Linked DNA regions of Saccharomyces cerevisiae S288C. The protein of the gene in region 2 interacts with the protein of the main gene of each other region in a pairwise test. Each region holds a gene or a part of one and is shown on either strand. Other genes may lie near its edges.

What was found.
Region 1: the proteins of CST26 (region 2) and UIP3 interact in a two-hybrid assay, tested with the Saccharomyces cerevisiae proteins (one large-scale study listed by BioGRID).

The regions. Positions count from the first base shown.
Region 1 is NC_001133.9:177,602-188,534, reverse strand, and holds UIP3 (DUP240 family protein UIP3), read right to left. Parts: upstream 4,766-10,933; coding exon 4,058-4,765; downstream 1-4,057. Other genes in the region: DUP240 family protein MST28, read right to left, coding at 1-428; pheromone-regulated DUP240 family protein PRM9, read right to left, coding at 803-1,699; DFP2 (DUP240 family protein), read right to left, coding at 1,990-2,214; KTD1 (DUP240 family protein), read right to left, coding at 2,939-3,643; DFP1 (DUP240 family protein), read left to right, coding at 8,715-9,254.
Region 2 is NC_001134.8:316,580-327,674, forward strand, and holds CST26 (putative acyltransferase), read right to left. Parts: upstream 5,031-11,095; coding exon 3,837-5,030; downstream 1-3,836. Other genes in the region: FIG1 (Fig1p), read left to right, coding at 389-1,285; long-chain fatty acid transporter FAT1, read left to right, coding at 1,687-3,696; QDR3 (Qdr3p), read right to left, coding at 5,297-7,366; TCM62 (Tcm62p), read right to left, coding at 7,762-9,480. UniProt on the Saccharomyces cerevisiae protein: Acyltransferase with lysophosphatidic acid acyltransferase (LPAAT) activity. Fatty acyl substrates include 18:0-acyl-CoA, 16:0-acyl-CoA, 17:0-acyl-CoA and 14:0-acyl-CoA.

The DNA.
Region 1 (10,933 bases), on a different chromosome or scaffold from region 2:
CATTGCCCATGATTAAACAAATATTGGTTCATGTTGTATGTGATGATCCTCCATTCTTTCCCTTCTACCGCCGGTTTACGTGTGATGACATCCACTAAAAGCTCGGTCCTAAAATTTCGACGACTGACTAGCTTTGGATTACCATCACTTAATATTATTAACAAACCTACAAGAGAAGTAAAAGCAAATATTGCAGAATTGAAAACACAAGCTTCGTTGTCATTAAAAAATATAATTAATAAAACCAAAACCCCTATTACCAGGGACAAAATCATGACTGGTGTATAGCGAGCGATTTCATAGATCCAATAACTCAAGTACGAACGGAATATGTCCTTAGGAAGAGCCACATTTTTCTCAATTAAATGTGCACTAGGTTCGTTAAGTGTATCTAACTTGACGTCGGTACTTTCTGGAGGGGTCTGCATAGCCAATATATACCTTGTATTGCCTATGACTATAGTATTCCTGGTTGTTTCTGTGCCACTGCATACTGATCAAATGTTTCAATTACGCAGGACCCTTTTACGATTGTTTTTCATCTCTAGAGGCATTTTCAACATCGTATTTTCCGAAGCGTTGCATAATGAAAATGTGATAATAAGGCAGTGAGCTACTTTGTCACAACAAAGTACGAGAACAGATGAGGTTCCGTGGTGTTTTTGGGGCAACCGCACTATTTGGAGCGCTGTATATATTTATATCCTACTACAAAAAATCATAAATGACACTGAATTGGACACATGCTAGCGTCAAATACCTTGCCTGGTAAAGTTGTGTGCTAGTGTCTCCCGTCTTCTGTCTAAAAAAACTCATCGACACCAGGATACTCTTGTCGCCAATATTCCTTTTGAAATTGTTGTTCGATTTCGGCTGCCTTGGTGAGGAGCTTTATAAAGTTCGGTCCGGCACTAAAACTAGAAGACTCAGCGGCTTCGTTTGGTGTGCCAGCGGTTTCGTCATTTGATTGTGCGTCTTTAACATTGCTGGCTGACGATTCCTTTTGCTTCTTGAAAGTTCTTCCCTTAATAAGACTTAGAAAATAACGGTGGCAATCTTCATCACGGTAAAAGTAGTAGGGAGTATCCCATAGCCCATGATCAAATAAATACTGGTTCATCTTGTATGTAATTGTCCTCCATTCTTTCCCCTTTACCGCCGGTTTACGTGTGATAATTTCCATCAGAAGCTTAACTTTAAATTCCCGATCACCGATCGGTTCACTAAATGCAATTACAACCATGCATGTTCCTGGAAAGCAAAAGGAAAACAATAGTATCTCAAAGGCAACGCAAAATTCCGTATTATAAAAAAACACTAATAATAAAATTGAAGTCACAATAAGTACGAGCAAAATTACTGCCGCTTTATGACGAGTAACTTCATATATCCAATAACTTAAGTACGAACCGAATATGTCCTTGGGAAGAGCCACATTTTTCTCAATTAAATATGCACTGGGTTCGTCGAGAAAATCCGACTTGGCGTCGGTACTTTCTGAAGATGTTTGCATGCCCAGTTTATATCTTGTCTTCTCTATAGCTCTGCTATGGTGTTGAAGGATGTTATGCGGATCAAAATAGCGATCTGTCTTATACCAATTGAAACTTTTCATCACCTGCTTTTTACTTCGGAGGCATTTTTCATTCAATACTAAGTTCCGGAATGATACAAAATAAAAATGGTATTGAGGCGACATAAGTTGTTAGCACAGCAAAGATGGTTGCGGGTTAAGTTTTCTGATCGTTCTGGGAGAGTATTTACGTTAAAAAATAGGAATCAATTAAGCATAATCATGCCGTTTTGTGTGCTACATATCTGTTTCCCACTATATAAAGTCACGTTAGAATGCAATTTATCTAATTTACTACCCCATTTTAGCGTCAGTGGATTGGTAAATCCCTTTGCTAGCAAGGTACTGTCAGAATATTTCTCCTTCCTTTCAAATAATTGCACCAATATCTTGCCAATACTTCACTTGAGATTGTTCTACAATATCCGCTGTCTTGGAAAGCAATTTTGAAAATCTTCTCCGGGATTTAATGTGAAAGATTCGCCAGCTTCAGTCTCCTGTACATTTTCCTCAGCGTTGCTTGTTGGCTTCTCGAAAGTTCTTCCCTCAATAAAACTTAGAAAAAGACGGTGGCAATCTTCTTCGCAATAAAAGTAGTAAGGAGTACTCCATATTTTATGGTCAAATAGATATTTATTCATCTTGTACGTGATAATGTTTCATTCCCCTTTCACCGAACGCTGGCGTGTGCTTACCTCTAACGAAAGCCTAATATTAGATGCTTTATTGTCGGTCTGTCCCGGAGATGAAAAAAGAGGATAGAAGGGACATGAGATGGTATACTCGGAAATTAGTCAGTGAAATCAAAATTACAGATGCCAGGAACATAATCATTATCGGCTTACAATGAGCCCCCTCGTAACACGTAAAGTGAATAACTTAAGTACGAATTGAACATGTCTTTGGGAAGGACCACATTTCCCTCAACTAAATTGGCACCATCTCCACTCAACACATCCAGTCTAATATTTTTATTTTGTGGTTGCGATTGCATACACGATTTGAGTACTAAATTTTTGACGAATGTAATACGGACCAAACAACAGCTTTTTTATTCACTAGTTATTCTTATAACTACAACACCAAACCCTTTTTGAGATCCTTTTTTTCTTTTTCTATTGTTTGGATTTTCTTGGCTGCATTATGCGAAGCGCAACAATAGAATGTGACAAAAACTGACAGAACCCTTATTAAACAAATATGAAAACCTCTAAAAAAACTTACAAATACGATAGTTGTAGGCCATGATGTTTGTACAGCTCGAATATATGATGCTCAATTCTGGCTTCGAGATGTTCTTGAATTCGATTCTTGTTCTCGTTTTAAAGAAAAGTAAGTATACTTGGTGAATAAAATGCTTCCGCTTCAAGGTAAATCAGCGTCAGGATATTGCTTTCTCCAGTATTCACTTTGAGCCTCCTTTTCTATTTGTGTTGCCTTCAAAACATATGCCATCAAAATAGGGTCTGATCTAATACTATAAAAGTTGTTTAGACCATTTGAAGTCTTCCCTGCTGAGACAGGTGATTGTGTATCCTCGGCACTATTCGATGAGGAATCCGAGTGCGAACCAGAATTCACTTCCTTGATAAGAGTGGTGAAGAACTCATGGCACTTCTTGCCGCTATAGAAATAGTACGGGGTATACCATAGTCTCTTCATGAATAGATATTGGTTCATATTATATGCGACAGTACCCCATTCCTTCCCCGCAGGCTTGCGTGCGATCACCTCCACTAAAAGCTTTATCATGAACTCCTGTTCAGTGATCGCTTTCCCGAATGTGAATGCTGCAACCACCATTAAAGCCATGGAGGCTACTATAAGGGACATCACTAAGATCACAGTGCACCCGTCGTTATCATGAAAAAGCACAATCAATGAGATCAAACTCACGATTATGATGATCATAAACATGATCGGTTTACAATGAGCAATTTCATAAAGTACATAACTCAGATGTGAACTGAATGTGTCTTCGGGAAGAGCTACATTCTCTTCGATTAAATGTGCACTGGGTTCGTCGAGAGTATCCATCTTTACGTCGGTATTTTCTGAAGGTGTTTGCATGGTCAATTGATATCTTGCCTTAATATGGCACTTATAGATGTTATCCTGATCAAAATAGCCAGCTGTTTTATGCTTTTTTAACGTTGTTCACCATTGTATTTATTATTTTTGAGGCATTTTTCACGTATTGTTGCAACGTCCCGAAGGGATTCGATGTGATCGAAAAGCGTCCCGGCTGATCTATTGTGATGACCAGCTATCTCACGTTGGCGAGCATCAAGCCGAGGATCATAAAGCAAAATATATAATAGCATTTGCATCTAAAGTAAACTACATAAAATTTGTTTCGAGCGTACATAACTTTTACACCCAGATGGACTGACACTTAATTGCGGGCTTCGTAATGTTCTTGAAGTTAATGATGCTCGTACATTTTATATTAGAATATACTAGATAAATACCAAAAATTCGGCCCTAAGGCAAATCAACCTCTGGGTATTGCTTTCTCCAATACTCAAATTCAGCTTCTTTGTGAATTTCCGCAGCTTTAATAAGGTAAGCTTCTAAAACTGGATCAGAACTAAAGATATAAGGTTTTACCATCTCATTTGAAACCTCTTTTGCTGGTGTGTTTGACTGCGTATTCTCTGCACCGTTCGTTGGTGAACTCAAATGTGCATTCGACCTTGTCTGTTTGATAAGGCTTTTGAAAAATTTATGGCACCTATGTTCACAAAAAAAGTAATACGGAGTATGCCATATCCCATGGTCAAACAGATACTGGTTCATATTATATGCGATTATTCTCCATTCCTTCCCCCCTACTGCTGGTTTACGTGTAATGACTTCTACTAAAAGCTTAATTATGAAACCCTTATTCAAGGTCTCAGACACGAAGGCAGTTATACCGATCAATAAAATGATAATAGAGAGGATAAGAGAAATCACTAAAAACACAAGGATACCTTTGATATCATGAAAAAACGTAATCAATAAAACCAAACACACAGGTATTAGGAACATAATCATTAGCGGTTTACAACGAGCGATTTCATTAAGTATATAACTCCAGTACGAATTGAATGTATCCTCTGGAAGAGCCACATTTTCCTCGATTAAATGTGCACTGGGTTCGTCGAGAGTATCCAACTTGACGTCGGTATTTTCTGAAGGGGTTTGCATGTTGAATTGATATCTTGTCTTGTGTAAGGTTATTATATGGTTTTGGAGGTTGTTATGCTGATTCGAATTACGACTTGATCATGATACTAATTGAGCTTTGACGAAATATTTTAGCAATTCAGAACCCCTTTCATATTCTTTTTTTTTTTCATTTTTAGAGGCGTTTTTTCACTGATAGGTACAGCCTCCGAAATAATATATAGTGAAGATATAATAATAATAGTGCGAGCCTTTTACAGGGCCATTATGATCATGAGTGAGATCCAGAAAAGCACATTGCATGGCAGTCGGATGTTGAGAATTGGGGGAATTTTGAGATAATTGTTGGGATTCCATTGTTGATAAAGGCTATAATATTAGGTATACAGAATATACTTGAAGGTTCTCCTCGAGGGTCTAGGAATCCCCATAATGGAGTCTATATTTCTATATACCAATCTTACGATTATTCCTCATTCCGTTTTATATGTTTCATTATCCTATTGCATTATCAATCCTTACACTTCAGCTTCCTCTAACTTCGATGACAGCTTTTCATACCTTATGCCATCATCTCTACACCGTATATGATAATATATTGATAATATAACTATTAGTTGATAGACGATAGTGGATTTTTATTCCAACAGAATTGCATTCCAACACATTGCCCCTAGCAATAATAGAAGTCCTACAATTATCAGATTTTTTAGCCAATTCTCAGCAACAAATCTAAATAGCAATTGCTCTTTTTAATTAATGGTTTACAGTTGTGATGCAACGCAATCCTTTTTCTTATAATTGGTTTACATATTTTATCACTGAAAATAATGTTGTATTACGGGCTCGAGTAATACCGGAGTGTCTTGACAATCCTAATATAAACAGTCTTAGGGAAGTAACCAGTTGTCAAAACAGTTTATCAGATTAATTCACGGAATGTTACTTATCTTATATATTATATAAAATATGAATCATACTAAGTGGTGGAAGCGCGGAATCTCGGATCTAAACTAATTGTTCAGGCATTTATACTTTGGGTAGTTCAGCTAGGGAAGGTCGGGTTTTGTCTCATGTTGTTCGTTTTGTTATAAGGTTGTTTCATATGTGTTTTATGAACGTTCAGGGTGACGTATTGTCATACTGACATATCTCATTTTGAGATACAACAAATAACATACAATTTTGGCAACTTGGCCGAGTGGTTAAGGCGAAAGATTAGAAATCTTTTGGGCTTTGCCCGCGCAGGTTCGAGTCCTGCAGTTGTCGTTATTTTTTTTTACTGATGATATTTCACCTCTTCAAAGCATACTCATCTTCAACTCGGATTCAACACGAGAAAGAATTATTTAAATCGGTACAAAGCAATACACTATTCAAAATCCTATCGTTTCCCAATTGTGTTGTGCGCGCGTTATTCTGCGATTCCGTGTAAGTGCATAGAGTAGGTTGTTGCAATAAAAAATGTCTCTAAATAGCAGGCCGACAGACATAACCAAATGATTTCCGTGAACAACCTCAAATTTTCAGGCTTTGAACGTGATTTTCCCAAACCCTGTAACTTGATGTGTAAATTTAAAATGGAATTGGCATGCCAGCTATCATCCCTTAGTGCTTTCAGTCCGAGAGTCTCCATATGTCTGACTTCACGACCTAATTGAACCGGCGCCCATTTCTGGGACATCAGCACTTGCGGTGCTGTTCCAAATAATATCTAAGGTAAGTTTAATGGCCCAGCCCGATCGTGAACGTTAAAGAAAGCATACGTCAAAATATTGGTACCTTATAAGAGTAAAAAAATGCTGTTTCATCTCGTTTGGTAGAGTATATATAAAAAGAGCGGTTTCTGAATTGTTGAAATTTGAACTGTTCAAGATTTACTTAGTAGTATGAACCTGCAGGGATCATCCAGAAACAAAATGCTGTAGCTTCTTCTCTGAATTGTATTTCTTTACAAAGAGCTTTGCTATTTTGCCTTGAAACAGCATATCTCATGGCGAGCGCTTCCATAGCGCTTGAAGCAGACCAAAGCAACATGCTGGAAGACCAGATTCCTAGACTATTCATGTACATCTCTACATAGTATGATCGACTTCGGGATTTTTTATTCCTTACTACGTGGTTTTTACGATGGCATGATCAAATTCTGTGAAGCTGTTTTGTCTGTCAGTGGGATCGTGCATTGTACTCAGTTAGAAGTGCGTTTGGAGCTTTGTAACATGGCACAAGTGAAGTGAAAGACGCCCTTTATAGAAAGGAGAGTTAGCTAATGTAGAAGTACAGCTGGTGATAAGAAAACGCTGATGCAGAATCAGGAAAGTGTTCTCGTTGTATTTTCCAAGTCTACTTGATTTTACAGTTAACGTAATATTCTTTATTATGTAGTGGTAAGAAATACTCAAACCGTAGGAAGCGGACTTGAGTTTGTTTTTATCTTCAGAGTATATGCATCCACGAAACACACCCTCATTGGTATAATGTTGGTACTTTCATTCCTACGTAGATTATGAAGTATAGGAGGAAAAAGAAAAAATAATGGTTGCTAAGAGATTCGAACTCTTGCATCTTACGATACCTGAGTATTCCCACAGTTCACTGCGGTCAAGATATTTCTTGAATCAGGCGCCTTAGACCGCTCGGCCAAACAACCACTTATTTGTGATATTTGGGTCACAATGTTTTAACTATTTGGACACTGACTTGTTATTAGCTGATCGCTAATTCAAACACATGGTTATATAAAGCATTCTTTCTGAAGAGACACCCAAAAAATAAGTACAGCATGGAAGTAATTATCATGCGTGTACGTGTTCTACTACATATTTTGCTATTCGGCATTGTAATGGGAAGTGATTCATAGGTGGCTGCCCCATTTTCAACGAGGGTAAAGTTTATAACTTTTTGTCTGGTCGTCCTCTTAGCTATACAACATCGTTATTGTTTAGGTATTATCCAACAATTAGGACACAGGCGTGAATAGTTTTATTAACAAATATAAAGTTAGCAATCGGCCAGTAAAAGTTTTAACGCAGGGACATCTCAGTAAATAAGTCATGCCTATGGTCCTCATCTAAATTTCGAAAAGAGACTGTGTTACGTATTATTCGCGAAGAACAATGATGATATATATCTGGCGATTTTACGGCCATTATCAGCGGTAAAACACCCAAGGTGTTGACTAAGTGATGGAGTCTGCGGTGGACAAGTGTTACTTTTGCTATACTACTAATCCAGCATTCCGTGATCATAGTTTAAATGCGCTGGCGTATTGGGAGCTCTTTGATACAACGAGAAGTCAGACATCAGCTCGCCGAAGCGTCCTAACAGTAACTAACTAACAATAAGCCTTAATGTAGTCCTCTTCCATATTCAATCTACTCTATATTCCGCTGGAGACCTGCTCACTCAATAGATCAGAAACACTCTTATATCCAAAAATACACAGGTACGAAAAATCTCGATCGAGAAATTCAAGGAAATAGAATAATCCTACACACATAACATTAAAAAAAAAATCCCTACGACAGAACTTCCCAGTCTGCTTTTGATTTACTTTTAATAAATACAGATGTTTTTTCAGTACCTTTCATGTTCCCATCCTTGTTACGATATATACTTTCATCTGGGGGCGCTAAAGAAAGCGAAAAGCTATGTACGTACAGTTGAAAAAAAGGAAAATACCAATTGAGGTTTGAAATGTTCGACACATTCAAGTCTATTTTTCCTAAGCTATCAGGATAAGGTTTACTTGACTTGTAAGCAAAAGCAAGTTAAATCGTTTGTTAAACATGCAATCTTATTTAAAAAAAACACTCATGTCACGGACGATCCTAAAGCAATCCCATTGAGGGAAGGATCTCCTGACAACCCTGAAAGTCCTTTAATCTCAGCTGATATCGTCCTTCCAGAGGATGAGTTTGCATCATACCAGAGTTATTTGCTTTACGAAATTGTACGCGCCAAGTATATAATGATCAATTTCCTCCTTTTTGTCTTGACGATTTTGGCGACTTTAACAAACATTTGGTTTTCTGGTGTTCTCTCCCCTGCCATGGTGATCCGGATATGTTTAGGTGGCTCTATGGTAGTCCTTCAGATATGGTCATTCAGTAGACCAATAAGTAATGAAACATTCCGTACAAAACTTCTACTAGAGGTAATAACTCATAGACCATCGATAGCTGGGAAAGAATGGAAAACCATAACGTATAACATGAATCAATATTTGTTCAAGGCTGGCTTATGGAAAACACCATACCACTTTTTTTGTGAACACCAGTGCTATGAATTTTTCAAGGATCTCATAAAGGGAAAATATCCTGATGTACAGTGGGATACAGCGAATACACAGCCGTTCATCAGTGTTCCAGAAAATCAGGCTGCAACTCAAAATTCTGATGTTGAACCAACCGTAAAGTGGTGCCTCTTTAAAGCAGCCGAAATTCAAGCCCATGCTGTGCGGGAATATTGGCAAAGTCAATATCCAGATGTGGGCATACCTGCAATATGAGTAGAGTTTACGTATCTAATATATTGGTATAAAAAGAACGCATCTTTTTTTTTTTGGGCTGTTCTGGGCTCCAGGAAGTCATAAATTGTGGGTACGCTTTAGATGTGTTTGCAATATTTGCAACTGCTCTCCCAAAAAAAATTAGCATTGCAAGATATTGAATAACTGGGTCGTCCCGAAGCAACAGTGGGGAAATAGTTTACGAGTTTTGTTCAAGTTAAAAGCATTTTTTGTTGTGAAGAGAATAAACTTGATTTCGAAGGAGATCAAATTCGAAATAATCTGCGAATTTATTATGATCGACTAGGCAACGAAGACGCAGTTTTCTATTAAATCTGTGCGTTTGAGTAACTTAACTGACTATAATATCGCAATCTTAACATCATTAAACAATGTAAAAGAGGTCATACGCTATAAGAAGTTGATTTGATCCCCCGTGGATTTTGAAAAATGTCAAGATCAGCATATTGACCCATGTTTTTCCGCTCAATCCAGTCTATCAATCATTTTTCAACAAGGATAACCATAACATTCACCCACCATGCTTTGGTTCATAAGATATACGGGGAGATCAGCAACTCTTCAACTTATTGAACATGTTGAGAGCAGGATTAAATAATCAATGTCCTGTGATTGCAACATCTATCATGCCTGACGTTTCTCGAACGATACAATCTACAATTTAATGAGCCATTTTAGCATATTAACGAGGGCTGCATGAGGATCGAATGGACAAAAGTGTTTTCAGGCATGGGAGAATGGGATGCTTATAGAGGAGTTTAACCATGAAATTAAATGATTCTCCAGCAAGAAAAAAAAAACTCCTGACTCAGTTCATGTGGCGGGAAATTTCTCTCATTGTCTCCCCCTGCAGCGCTACTAATCTTAAAGGTAGTGGTGGCTTCGACATTATATCGTTGGTTCAGGTTGTCCGATCACTAATGATCTGTTACTTTATTGCTATGTTATGTGTCAAAAGGTGATATCCCCATTTTTACTGATCGCAGTAATATTTTAACCTGCCATGGTTAAATTGTTTATTGTCATTGAGTTGAGCACTTTTTCATTGCACTGTAGTTGTTGCGTATTTCAGACTTACTCTTATAGTGACGCTAACAGGAGGTCTGGCTCTTAATACAAGGACGTCGTAATATTCTGTTCACCGGACTCGAAAGCAAGAAGGAAAAAAGCACATTGTAGCCTTTTCAAAAACCTATCTTTTGGTACTAATTTATGGCGGCCCATACAGAGAGCTACCCTAAGAAATAGTTCGCATTCGTATATGAACTTCGGCTTTGAATATTGCGGATTCGTGCACAATACAAGACTTCTGTCGTTCCATGTCATCTATTGCGCGATTATTTTTTCACCAATTCCTTTCATTTCTAGTGGTTTCAAGGCGCAAGATTAATCTTAGATTTTACCTCCATCAAAAGCTCGGTAATTGGCACGTCATTTTACTATATGGCCTCAACAACATCGCTATACAGATTTGGGCGCCCTACTTAGCGAGACTTCCTACATTTGGAAATTACCCTAAAGGCATATTCTCTTCATGTAATAGCTCGCACAATGTAACCCGATTCAATTGATGCCCCAGTCGTCATTTATGTACAAGCATATCTACGCTGGCTCTGAGACTTGTGTTGTCCAAACAAGAACCCCCATCATATCTAGCG
Region 2 (11,095 bases):
TGATGAGACGAAGTATATATCCAAAGAATACCTTAAATAGAAAAGGAAAGATAATAAATACTAAACACTACTATATATTCAGGTAAAATACAAAAATTATAACATTTTTAAAACTTTTTTTTTTTGAAAGTCCTTCTCGCTTTAGGATTTTTTCCCATTAAGATTATGATGGTTTCATGTATGTGTCAGTTAAAAAAAATATGGCTAAGTAGCAATGAAACGAACCAAGAAAATGAAAACAATATATAGTGCTGTTGAAATAACAAAGACATTGGTATATATTTGTAAAATGTCTGTTAAATGTTTTTTATCTCAGGTTCTTGCTTGTCTTTGGTAGAAGAAATTATAGTAAACAAACAAACAAACAAACAAAAAAAAAAAAAAAAAAATGGTCGCAATCTCAATGATTTGGTTTTTTACCAAGCGTATGCCCAGAATATTTGCATTAGCTTTTAATTTAATTTCAATATTTCTTTTGATTTTTCTTCTCATCGGCTGTTACAACCCGTCAAATCAGTCAACATTTCTAGTGAAGTATAAATTTGATGACAACTCACCTTTTTATACGATCATAGAGAAATCATATGAAAAATCAAATACAACTCTGGGCTTGGAGGAAGTCATTATAAGATCCGGTTACATGGGTGTTTGTATTGATAACATTCCCTCCCAATATAGCTCTTACAATAATATGACTACATTCTCCAATTCAATTTGCTATGCAAGAAAGAATTTAAGCTCGGTTCCCTTATACAGAGACTTGGAAATTCAACTCTCAAATATTGCATCTTCCAGCTCCAAAACCCAATCAAGCGTTGTCTTGAACATTTTGAAGTTAGCCCAATTAACTTCGGTTAATGTTATACATCCATATGTCTTGATGGCAACTGTAATCCTAACAATCCTAATGTTTCTATTTATTCTGTATGTAACTGTCCCTAAGTTACCATTCAAACTAGCGGTTAATAAATTTCTACTGTTGCTAAGTTCAACTATAGTTTTGACATGGGGTATTGGTGCGATGTGGACTCATGTAGGGATAAATGCAAGTTACAGATTGGTTCCATCATCAAGTATGAATATAATCACTGTCAAGAAGGGCAAGAAGGCAGCAGTAATGGCTTGGTTTAGCTTTGCATTCCTCCTTTTAGACAGTGTGGTTTTATGGTTAATATTTTTAAGGGATAGGAAAAGCTTGAAAGATGAAATTGATAATGTTCCATGTGCCCAAAATAGGTACAATAACTACTCTTCGGATTCATCTACATTGCATTCCAAAGTTTAGTTTTATCCTCAAATAAACATATAAGTTTTGAGCGGATATTTCAGAATGTCAATTTTTAAAAGTAAAAGGAGAAAAAATTTATATAATTCACGATTAACATTATATAATGTGATGAACTACTTAAAAAATTTAACGTTCGATAATTAAGTAACAACAGAGAAAATATGAGCTTACCTAAACTCTAATCATTACCGTCTGTTTTATTTACTGTCACCTTGATGAGCGACTAAAAAGATAGAACGCGGGTTTTTCGCGCAATGTAACAAAGCTCCAGAAATTTTTTATAAATACTAATGTTATAGCAAAAAAAATAAGGACCTTAAAGTCGTAAACTAAATTGAAAAGCCCAAATCATTCAAATTCTATATCGTTGAACTTTTAATAGGCTGCGAATACCGACTATGTCTCCCATACAGGTTGTTGTCTTTGCCTTGTCAAGGATTTTCCTGCTATTATTCAGACTTATCAAGCTAATTATAACCCCTATCCAGAAATCACTGGGTTATCTATTTGGTAATTATTTTGATGAATTAGACCGTAAATATAGATACAAGGAGGATTGGTATATTATTCCTTACTTTTTGAAAAGCGTGTTTTGTTATATCATTGATGTGAGAAGACATAGGTTTCAAAACTGGTACTTATTTATTAAACAGGTCCAACAAAATGGTGACCATTTAGCGATTAGTTACACCCGTCCCATGGCCGAAAAGGGAGAATTTCAACTCGAAACCTTTACGTATATTGAAACTTATAACATAGTGTTGAGATTGTCTCATATTTTGCATTTTGATTATAACGTTCAGGCCGGTGACTACGTGGCAATCGATTGTACTAATAAACCTCTTTTCGTATTTTTATGGCTTTCTTTGTGGAACATTGGGGCTATTCCAGCTTTTTTAAACTATAATACTAAAGGCACTCCGCTGGTTCACTCCCTAAAGATTTCCAATATTACGCAGGTATTTATTGACCCTGATGCCAGTAATCCGATCAGAGAATCGGAAGAAGAAATCAAAAACGCACTTCCTGATGTTAAATTAAACTATCTTGAAGAACAAGACTTAATGCATGAACTTTTAAATTCGCAATCACCGGAATTCTTACAACAAGACAACGTTAGGACACCACTAGGCTTGACCGATTTTAAACCCTCTATGTTAATTTATACATCTGGAACCACTGGTTTGCCTAAATCCGCTATTATGTCTTGGAGAAAATCCTCCGTAGGTTGTCAAGTTTTTGGTCATGTTTTACATATGACTAATGAAAGCACTGTGTTCACAGCCATGCCATTGTTCCATTCAACTGCTGCCTTATTAGGTGCGTGCGCCATTCTATCTCACGGTGGTTGCCTTGCGTTATCGCATAAATTTTCTGCCAGTACATTTTGGAAGCAAGTTTATTTAACAGGAGCCACGCACATCCAATATGTCGGAGAAGTCTGTAGATACCTGTTACATACGCCAATTTCTAAGTATGAAAAGATGCATAAGGTGAAGGTTGCTTATGGTAACGGGCTGAGACCTGACATCTGGCAGGACTTCAGGAAGAGGTTCAACATAGAAGTTATTGGTGAATTCTATGCCGCAACTGAAGCTCCTTTTGCTACAACTACCTTCCAGAAAGGTGACTTTGGAATTGGCGCATGTAGGAACTATGGTACTATAATTCAATGGTTTTTGTCATTCCAACAAACATTGGTAAGGATGGACCCAAATGACGATTCCGTTATATATAGAAATTCCAAGGGTTTCTGCGAAGTGGCCCCTGTTGGCGAACCAGGAGAAATGTTAATGAGAATCTTTTTCCCTAAAAAACCAGAAACATCTTTTCAAGGTTATCTTGGTAATGCCAAGGAAACAAAGTCCAAAGTTGTGAGGGATGTCTTCAGACGTGGCGATGCTTGGTATAGATGTGGAGATTTATTAAAAGCGGACGAATATGGATTATGGTATTTCCTTGATAGAATGGGTGATACTTTCAGATGGAAATCTGAAAATGTTTCCACTACTGAAGTAGAAGATCAGTTGACGGCCAGTAACAAAGAACAATATGCACAAGTTCTAGTTGTTGGTATTAAAGTACCTAAATATGAAGGTAGAGCTGGTTTTGCAGTTATTAAACTAACTGACAACTCTCTTGACATCACTGCAAAGACCAAATTATTAAATGATTCCTTGAGCCGGTTAAATCTACCGTCTTATGCTATGCCCCTATTTGTTAAATTTGTTGATGAAATTAAAATGACAGATAATCATAAAATTTTGAAGAAGGTTTATAGAGAGCAAAAATTACCAAAGGGTTTGGATGGAAATGACACTATTTTTTGGCTCAAGAATTACAAGCGCTATGAAGTCTTGACCGCTGCTGATTGGGAAGCCATCGATGCACAAACAATTAAATTATGATTTGATGTTCCTGAATTAGGATAAAGTATTTTTCCTTGCACGAGAGTACGTATGTAAACGTAATATTGATAAAGAATCAAAAAAAGTTTTATATCTATCTATATATGTACCTAATAACATATGGAAAGGATTATTTAAATTCAAAAAATAAAACAATAAAGTTTATAAACTAACCAAATTATTGTTAGAGTTGGTAATATTAGCACTTCAGTTAACTCAATACGATTGATCTTGAAACTATCGGTAACTGAATGGTTTGTTTCAGGATCACTTACGAATGATCCAGTGGAATAGTACCTTTCCATTAGAGCATCCTTCTCACTCCAAATTTTATACAGCCATTCTGAAAATTCATTCTCGTCCTCTAATGGAATATCTTTAACATCAAATGCTCTGATGTGAATATCGACTAACTTCGGGTATTTTCCTTCTAAAAATATGCTCTTCAGCCCATATATAAGCTCACCATATTCCTCCTGTTTTACACCGGAGTAGCCGATCGTAATATCATAAAGACTTTCAATACTTGGCTTCAACTTTTGTAACGAGTATCTTAGGCCTGTAGAATGAGGCAGTAGCACATTCTTGAATGGCTTTTTGCCTATTTTGGCAGCATATTTAGCACTTTTTTGCCTAGTATCAGCACTGAGATTTGTACCTTCAGGGAATAGGATAAGATTGTATGGCCAATGGATTTGTTTTGGATCAATAACCTCCGGATTCCATATGCTCTCTCCTTCCTCAGTTATGCGCTCAGGTGACTTTCCAGCAAGTGAGCCGGCGCCCCTTGCATTCGAATCAAGGCCAGCAAGGCTGTTGCTTAGGGTTATTTTGTCTTGTGCCCACTTTCTACTCATAAAAATGAAATTATAGTTTCTCATACCGAAACCGAGGATAGGAATGGAAGCCAACGATTTTTTTAAAATAATGAAGACATTAGCCCCTAAGTTCGATGTGTAAGCCAACCACCATAAAAATATCCAATCCGTGTATATTTGGTGATTGCAAATGGCCACCGAATTGGACTTTAGATGAGAAAGAATCCTTTTCTTCTTCAAGTCTAAAAAAAAAGTACCTTTAGGAACACTGGAATTTTCAGTGGTAATTCTCACTGCAGATGGTGCGACAACATGCAAAATGGATGATACCAAGACAATAAATAATCTTTTGGTTTTATTGAGACCAATTTGTTTCCTTATATCATTTCTACAGTAAAGAGTCTTATAGGTGAGTTGGAGAAACAAAAGAATAAGGCATCCCTGGAAGAAAATCAATAAGGAAATACCTGGGACGACGACTTTTCGAACTTTATGAGCTATTTTTTGATGCAGCATCAGCTTATTGACCTCGCTAGCAATCTCAATACCAGTGGACCTGATATATCCTTTTTTTTTGTTGGCTAGTGTTCATTAATGATCTTTCGCGTTTATATTTCTTTTTCTGATGAGTTTTTCGCCTCTTGAGATGTTGTTGAACATTATTTAATAATACTTTTAGCACAATAACGATTTACCATAAACTAAAGTAAACTATGTATGTGCCACCCTATGAAAAGTCTACAATGAAAATATTTACGCTTCCGTCTTATTAACCGATATGATTAATCAATTTTGTCGTACAATTTTTGTAAATCGTAGTTCTCTCTCCAGTAATCACCGTGCTTTTTCAGTATTATAAGTACACTGCTAGCACCCAAGACGATAAAGGCCAGCATTGTGAAAGCCCACCCAGTTCCCATACCGTTTAACATGGGTGTGGTGACAAAGACTGCGGTTGCAGCCAAGATTTGCCTTATTAAATTATTCAAAGCAACACCGGTGGCACCCTTTCCCGGCAATGAATCGACTAAATAGGAAAGGGTAGCACCAATTGTCATCATAGCTGCATATCCAAAGAGGGCTGTTCCAATTAGTGGCGTTACCCAGTGGCATTTTTTATCTAGGCACCAGCCAAATATCAATAGCGCAATGGGGAAAGATATTACAGATGTAACAACATTCCACGATATACGAGCTTCAGGAGCAAGAATTCCATATTTCTCTTTGTATCTTTTTAAAAGCATGTCCACCCAACGTCCACCGTAAATTGAGGCGAAAAAGTATGTTACAGAATTCGGAATATACAGTAGACCAATGTATAATGGTTTAAAGTTGTAAGGAGGCCTTGAATATTTATATTCAACTGTCATATTAACAAAGTATACTGTGGAAAAGGAAATTGCGGAAAATGTTATTGCAAGTGCCACGGGTGGATATTCTAGGAAGTGCAATGATTTTAAAGGCTTGATAAAATAAACAAAAAAGGTGTCCCAGACCTTCCTCACCGCTGATACCTGTTTAGGAGCGATTTCACCTCCATTACTGGATAGCACTTTTTTGACTTGCTCTTCCAGGTTGGTTTGTAATTTTCTCAGACTATTTTCTCGAATCGATCTCGCTAACTTTGGATCTGTTGATCTTATTCTCGTAACTTGTGCTGTTGTTGCATCGATACCGCTATCATCTAGCTGATATTCATACAGACTTCTACTCGCCTCTGTATAAATCCGTTGCAATTGGGTTTCTCCAGCTCGACCATCATAAGTATTGGGGCTAGAGTGACTTTCTAAATCTAGCGAGTCTTGATCCCTTACCTCTCCAACGTAGTTATGCTTCTCAGTAGATAATGTGGCAACTTGGTTTTCAATTCGATCTGTCTCATCTTCTCCCCTCTGATAATCTTCTTGTATCTCTCCACGTTCGTTATTGTCTACTTGAATACGTCTTTCAGCCAAAATTTGAGCGATAGCGCCTTTAGAATCTTGTTTTCTTAATGTTTCAGGTAGTAACACCGTCAAAAGAATGACATTACATCCGGATAAAATAACCATAAACCATTGAGTGGATCTCCAGGGCCAGCGATTCACTAACAAAGATCCAAAAATTGGAGATAGTAGCGGCGCCAGTAGTGGACCCAAATAGTAATAACTCAAATTTTTACCTCTATCTTCGCTAATATATAAATCAGCCACTGTTCCAGCACCTACACTTTGAACACTGGCAGAAGCAGCCCCACAGAGCATTCTCAAGGCAATAAATGAGTTGATATCAGGAGCTAGAGCAGACCCGATATTAAATGCAAACAATAATGCAAATGAAGTTATGTAAGTAGTTCTTCTGCCCTCTAGCTCGGATAGAGAAGACCACCACAATGGGAAAACACCAAGACTTAAAAGGTACACACCAATTGAAACGTTTACCATAATCACTGATGTTTTAAATTCTGTTGTGATTGAGTTGATCGCTGGAAAAATGATAGATGTGCCCATGGGGCCCATCATGGAGGAAAACGCAATCAAGAAGACAATCATCTTTTTCATCATCGGTGGATAATCTCTGGCATCCTTGAACTCCGGTATAATGGCGAGTTGAGGCAATAGTCCCCTACGTTGATTCTTTGGAACAACGTATTCCTCACTCTTCAACCTACTTAGCTGGTTGTCTCTGTGTTCACGACTATTTGATGCCGTACTTTCCAGATTGGTCTTTTCGTAACTATAATCGTTGTGCTCGCTGTGCGGGCTGCCGCTGCTTTCATCGCAGTGCATCATAACATGATTGTTCGGTAGTGAATTGTCAGAGCAATTACTCCTCAAAGACCCTACATTCGATTGTGAACCTTGGGCTTGCATGTTTATCGCTTTCTGACTTCGGTCCTAGCATAGACGTTAACAAGTTAGAAAGATGTGAATACATATGCCTTCAACCCTGTTTTCTTTTAAGGATACAAGGACACAGCTATTACAACAAATTTTGTTGGTTTCTATCTTATCTAATCGATAATCTTTTAATATTTTAATCTAATCGCAGTTATCCAAAACTGGAATGAGATGGTTCAAATCCCCAAAGGTAGATGGAGTTACTGCTGAGGCGTGGAAAAACCCGAGTTTTTCCGAAGCCGCATATGAGAAATTGAGCAGGAATAATAGATATTTACGAAGAGGTAAAAGTGATAAAAGGCAGCGCCGTGGCAATATCTATTTACAATGACTCATTCTGACTATTTAAAAGTATGTAAGGGCTTTATCTAGGCTTTGTGCCGTTCAGGCTTTTTGTATACACATGTGATAATTGTATTACAGCTTGTAAGTAATTCAATGAACGTTTCTACACCGGCTAAACAAGAATCCATTTTGCTCCATGGCTCCAAGTTTCCATCCTTTACTGTGTTCACCGGTTCTGAATTTGGAGAAAACTTGGCCATTGGAAACGATTTTTCGTTTATAGCGCCTGCTATCAGGCTATTGATCTCATAATAGTTGTACCCATATGCATTCTTAAACGCCACTTCTGATGGGAGAATAACTGCTGATAAAACAGCATTGATGCCTACCTTAGTCATGAAATTGGGTTCATTTGCTTTCAGTTCATTCAAACCTGGAATTGCCTTCAGTAGGGAGATGCCGTAACCTGGGATGAAACCTTTGGCCAGCCCATGACATAGGACGTTATTTAAGCAATTATCTATTGCATTTCTTCTTCTGTCGATTTCGATTTCGTTATGTCCACCAATGCTTAAAGTGACCGTATTTTGGAGGAAGGATTTCGGAACTTTATTTGGAATCGCTTCAGCATCAATGGAGTTATATAAGAATGCCTCCCCTGTGGTCGCTTTTATGGATTCGATACTGCCGTAATATTTATCCGCACACATTTTGCTTGGCACTAAAGGACTATATTCTGGTGAGTAGATGCTGTCATATCCGCAAGGCAACCGTAAGAACTTTATAAAATCAAGATTCTCCTGTGGCGCTAAGTCATTGTTCGCCTTTTTAGAGTACTTCAAAACCACTATTCGGCTTTCATTATTTTCTCTCTTGTTTCTGTTATTGTTAATTGTAACGGATGTTAATGCATCACCTGTGCAATCTCCGTTAACGATTAAGAGAACAGATTTTCTCAACTTTCTTGCATACGTTATCGTGGGTAGAATTTTATTAGCGTCTCGTAACGTCCCATCATACATAAGAACTAGCATATCTTTATCAATGGAAACTAATTTCTTAGTAGGCAACTCCAGGGACCTTAAATAGGCTTCATTACTATCTAAAATACCAGCTGGATATTTCCAACCCTTGGATACATCAACCTCATCGTAAGTTTTGTTGCCGTTTATGACCCGCACAATGTCATCCGAAAACAATTCATAATTAATGGCTTTCAAAACCCTTTTGATGCTTTGGCTGTCTGAGGAGGACATAGTCAATTGCTCGACCAGAGCATCAACATCGTTTTGACTTTTCACTATAATCTTGTTCTTCGCAAGAAAATCTCTGATATATCGTAATCCGGCCTTGATCCCATTGGTCACTTCTTTTTCGGGATACTTGAAATAGTGCTCCAGTAAAGAGCATGTCAAAGATGTTGAAGTTGCTGTTAAGTTGTCCTGAATGCAATCCATGAATAATTGTAGACCAACCCTCCCCAGCTTTCGAGGCCTGTTTGATTGAAGTCGTGTGTTGGTAGCTTCATCTACTTGTAGGGAATCTAGTAACTCACGCATTACATTGTGAAGTCTCATGGTATCATGAGAACTAACGACCTGTGGCTTGGATTTATACTTAGGTTCATATATCAATGTTTTATTGTAGGAGGATGAAGTTATTATTTTTTCCAACAGCTTAATACCAGAGAGCGTATCTCTGAGAACCTGAAGGTTTTTTGTTCTATAGATTGGGGTGTGTAACGTTTTTACCGAACATTTCGTTTGATGATTTCCCAATTTCCTCAAACAATTCCTCAGCATACTCGTTAAAGCATAAGAGAGTTTTATGTTTACAGTAGTGTGGGAGAAAATAACGCCAGGTTAAAGCTCGTAAAAGGTAAACTATCGCACTATCGAAACTTTTGTTTCACAGGGAATGGAAGAAAGGGCCTTTATTTTTTACATTTTTTTAAGCCATAACGGATTTTAGTTACCGAGATTTTCAATCCTATAAGAATTACCTAAACTATTAAAAGCGGACCCATCTAAAACATAACGTTCGGCAAGTAGATGTATTGTTCCAAAAAGGCAATACATCCATACAACGGTGCCACCGATCTGTAATGAATGCTCCGTAATGTTTGGGGGATTCATTAAATTTACTGCTGGAACCGAGAGAGAAACACGACAGAGCAATTCATATAAATGAATAAATGAAAACTCGGTCGTATTGCCCTTAAACGTTTATAGGACCAGGTTGGCTACTTCCTCATCTCAATTTTGTGATAGGGGAGGTCTGCGTAAGGAATCAATTCGGATACCTTGGTAGTACTTTTAGGGGCACATTTTTTATTTCTACTTCTTGTATTATTAGGTATCACTGAGATCTATCTCTAATGATGCCTTCACTCCCACAGATAGCGGAAGACATTAATGCACTTCAAATCAAAACTTCTTCAACTAAAGCTACTCTTTTCGAACGCAGAAGATATAATTTCATTCCTAGAGACTTTCTACGAACCTAAAGTAGCAAATTTAAAAAAATAAAGAGTTTGATCCAACCGAGGTTCGAACTCGGGATCTTCGCCGTGTAAAGGCGACGTCTTGAACCACTGGACCATTGGACCCGGAACTCGATACTATGTCATTTTTGGATATCGGTTAGTTGTATACATTGGATATCTCATCTAAAAGCATTACGCATGCCCTATAACTGGTAAATTCAATGAATGTTTTGTAAGTTGAGGGGATGCTAATTCCCTACGAAGTATTTCTATATTATGTGCAACTACATCAAGAAGATAATATTAAAGTTGTTGGAATAAGAATCTGTTGGAATGGAAATCAACTATCGTCCATCAACTATAGTTATACTACTGGTATTATCATATACGATGTTAGATGATGACATAAGCTATGAAAAAACTGCCATTGAAGTTAAAGGAAGCTGAAATGCAAAGATTGATAATGTAATATGATAATGAAACATTTAAAACGGAATGAGGAATAATCGTAATATTATTATGTAGAAGTATCGATTCCATTCGAGGATTCCTATATCCTCGAGGAGAACTTCTAGTATATTCTGCATACATAATATTATAGCCTTAATCAATAAAAACCCCAAGAATTACCTCAAAATTCACCAATATCTCAAAATCAACCTTCATCTGTCTACCAGTAGTCATATTATTATATGTTATCATATACAGTGTAAAAAAGATGATATAAAGATTGAAAAACAGTCATCAGATGTTTGGGAAGCTGAAATAAAATATAGTAGGACAATGGGTGACAATATATAAAATGGAGAAAGAAATAGTAGCCTTATTACGTAAAAGTATCAATCTCTTTTGTAAATTTTTGTATCCTGGGGAAGAACCTTTATCATATTCTCTATTCCTAATGTTATAACCTTAACAACAACGAAATCCCA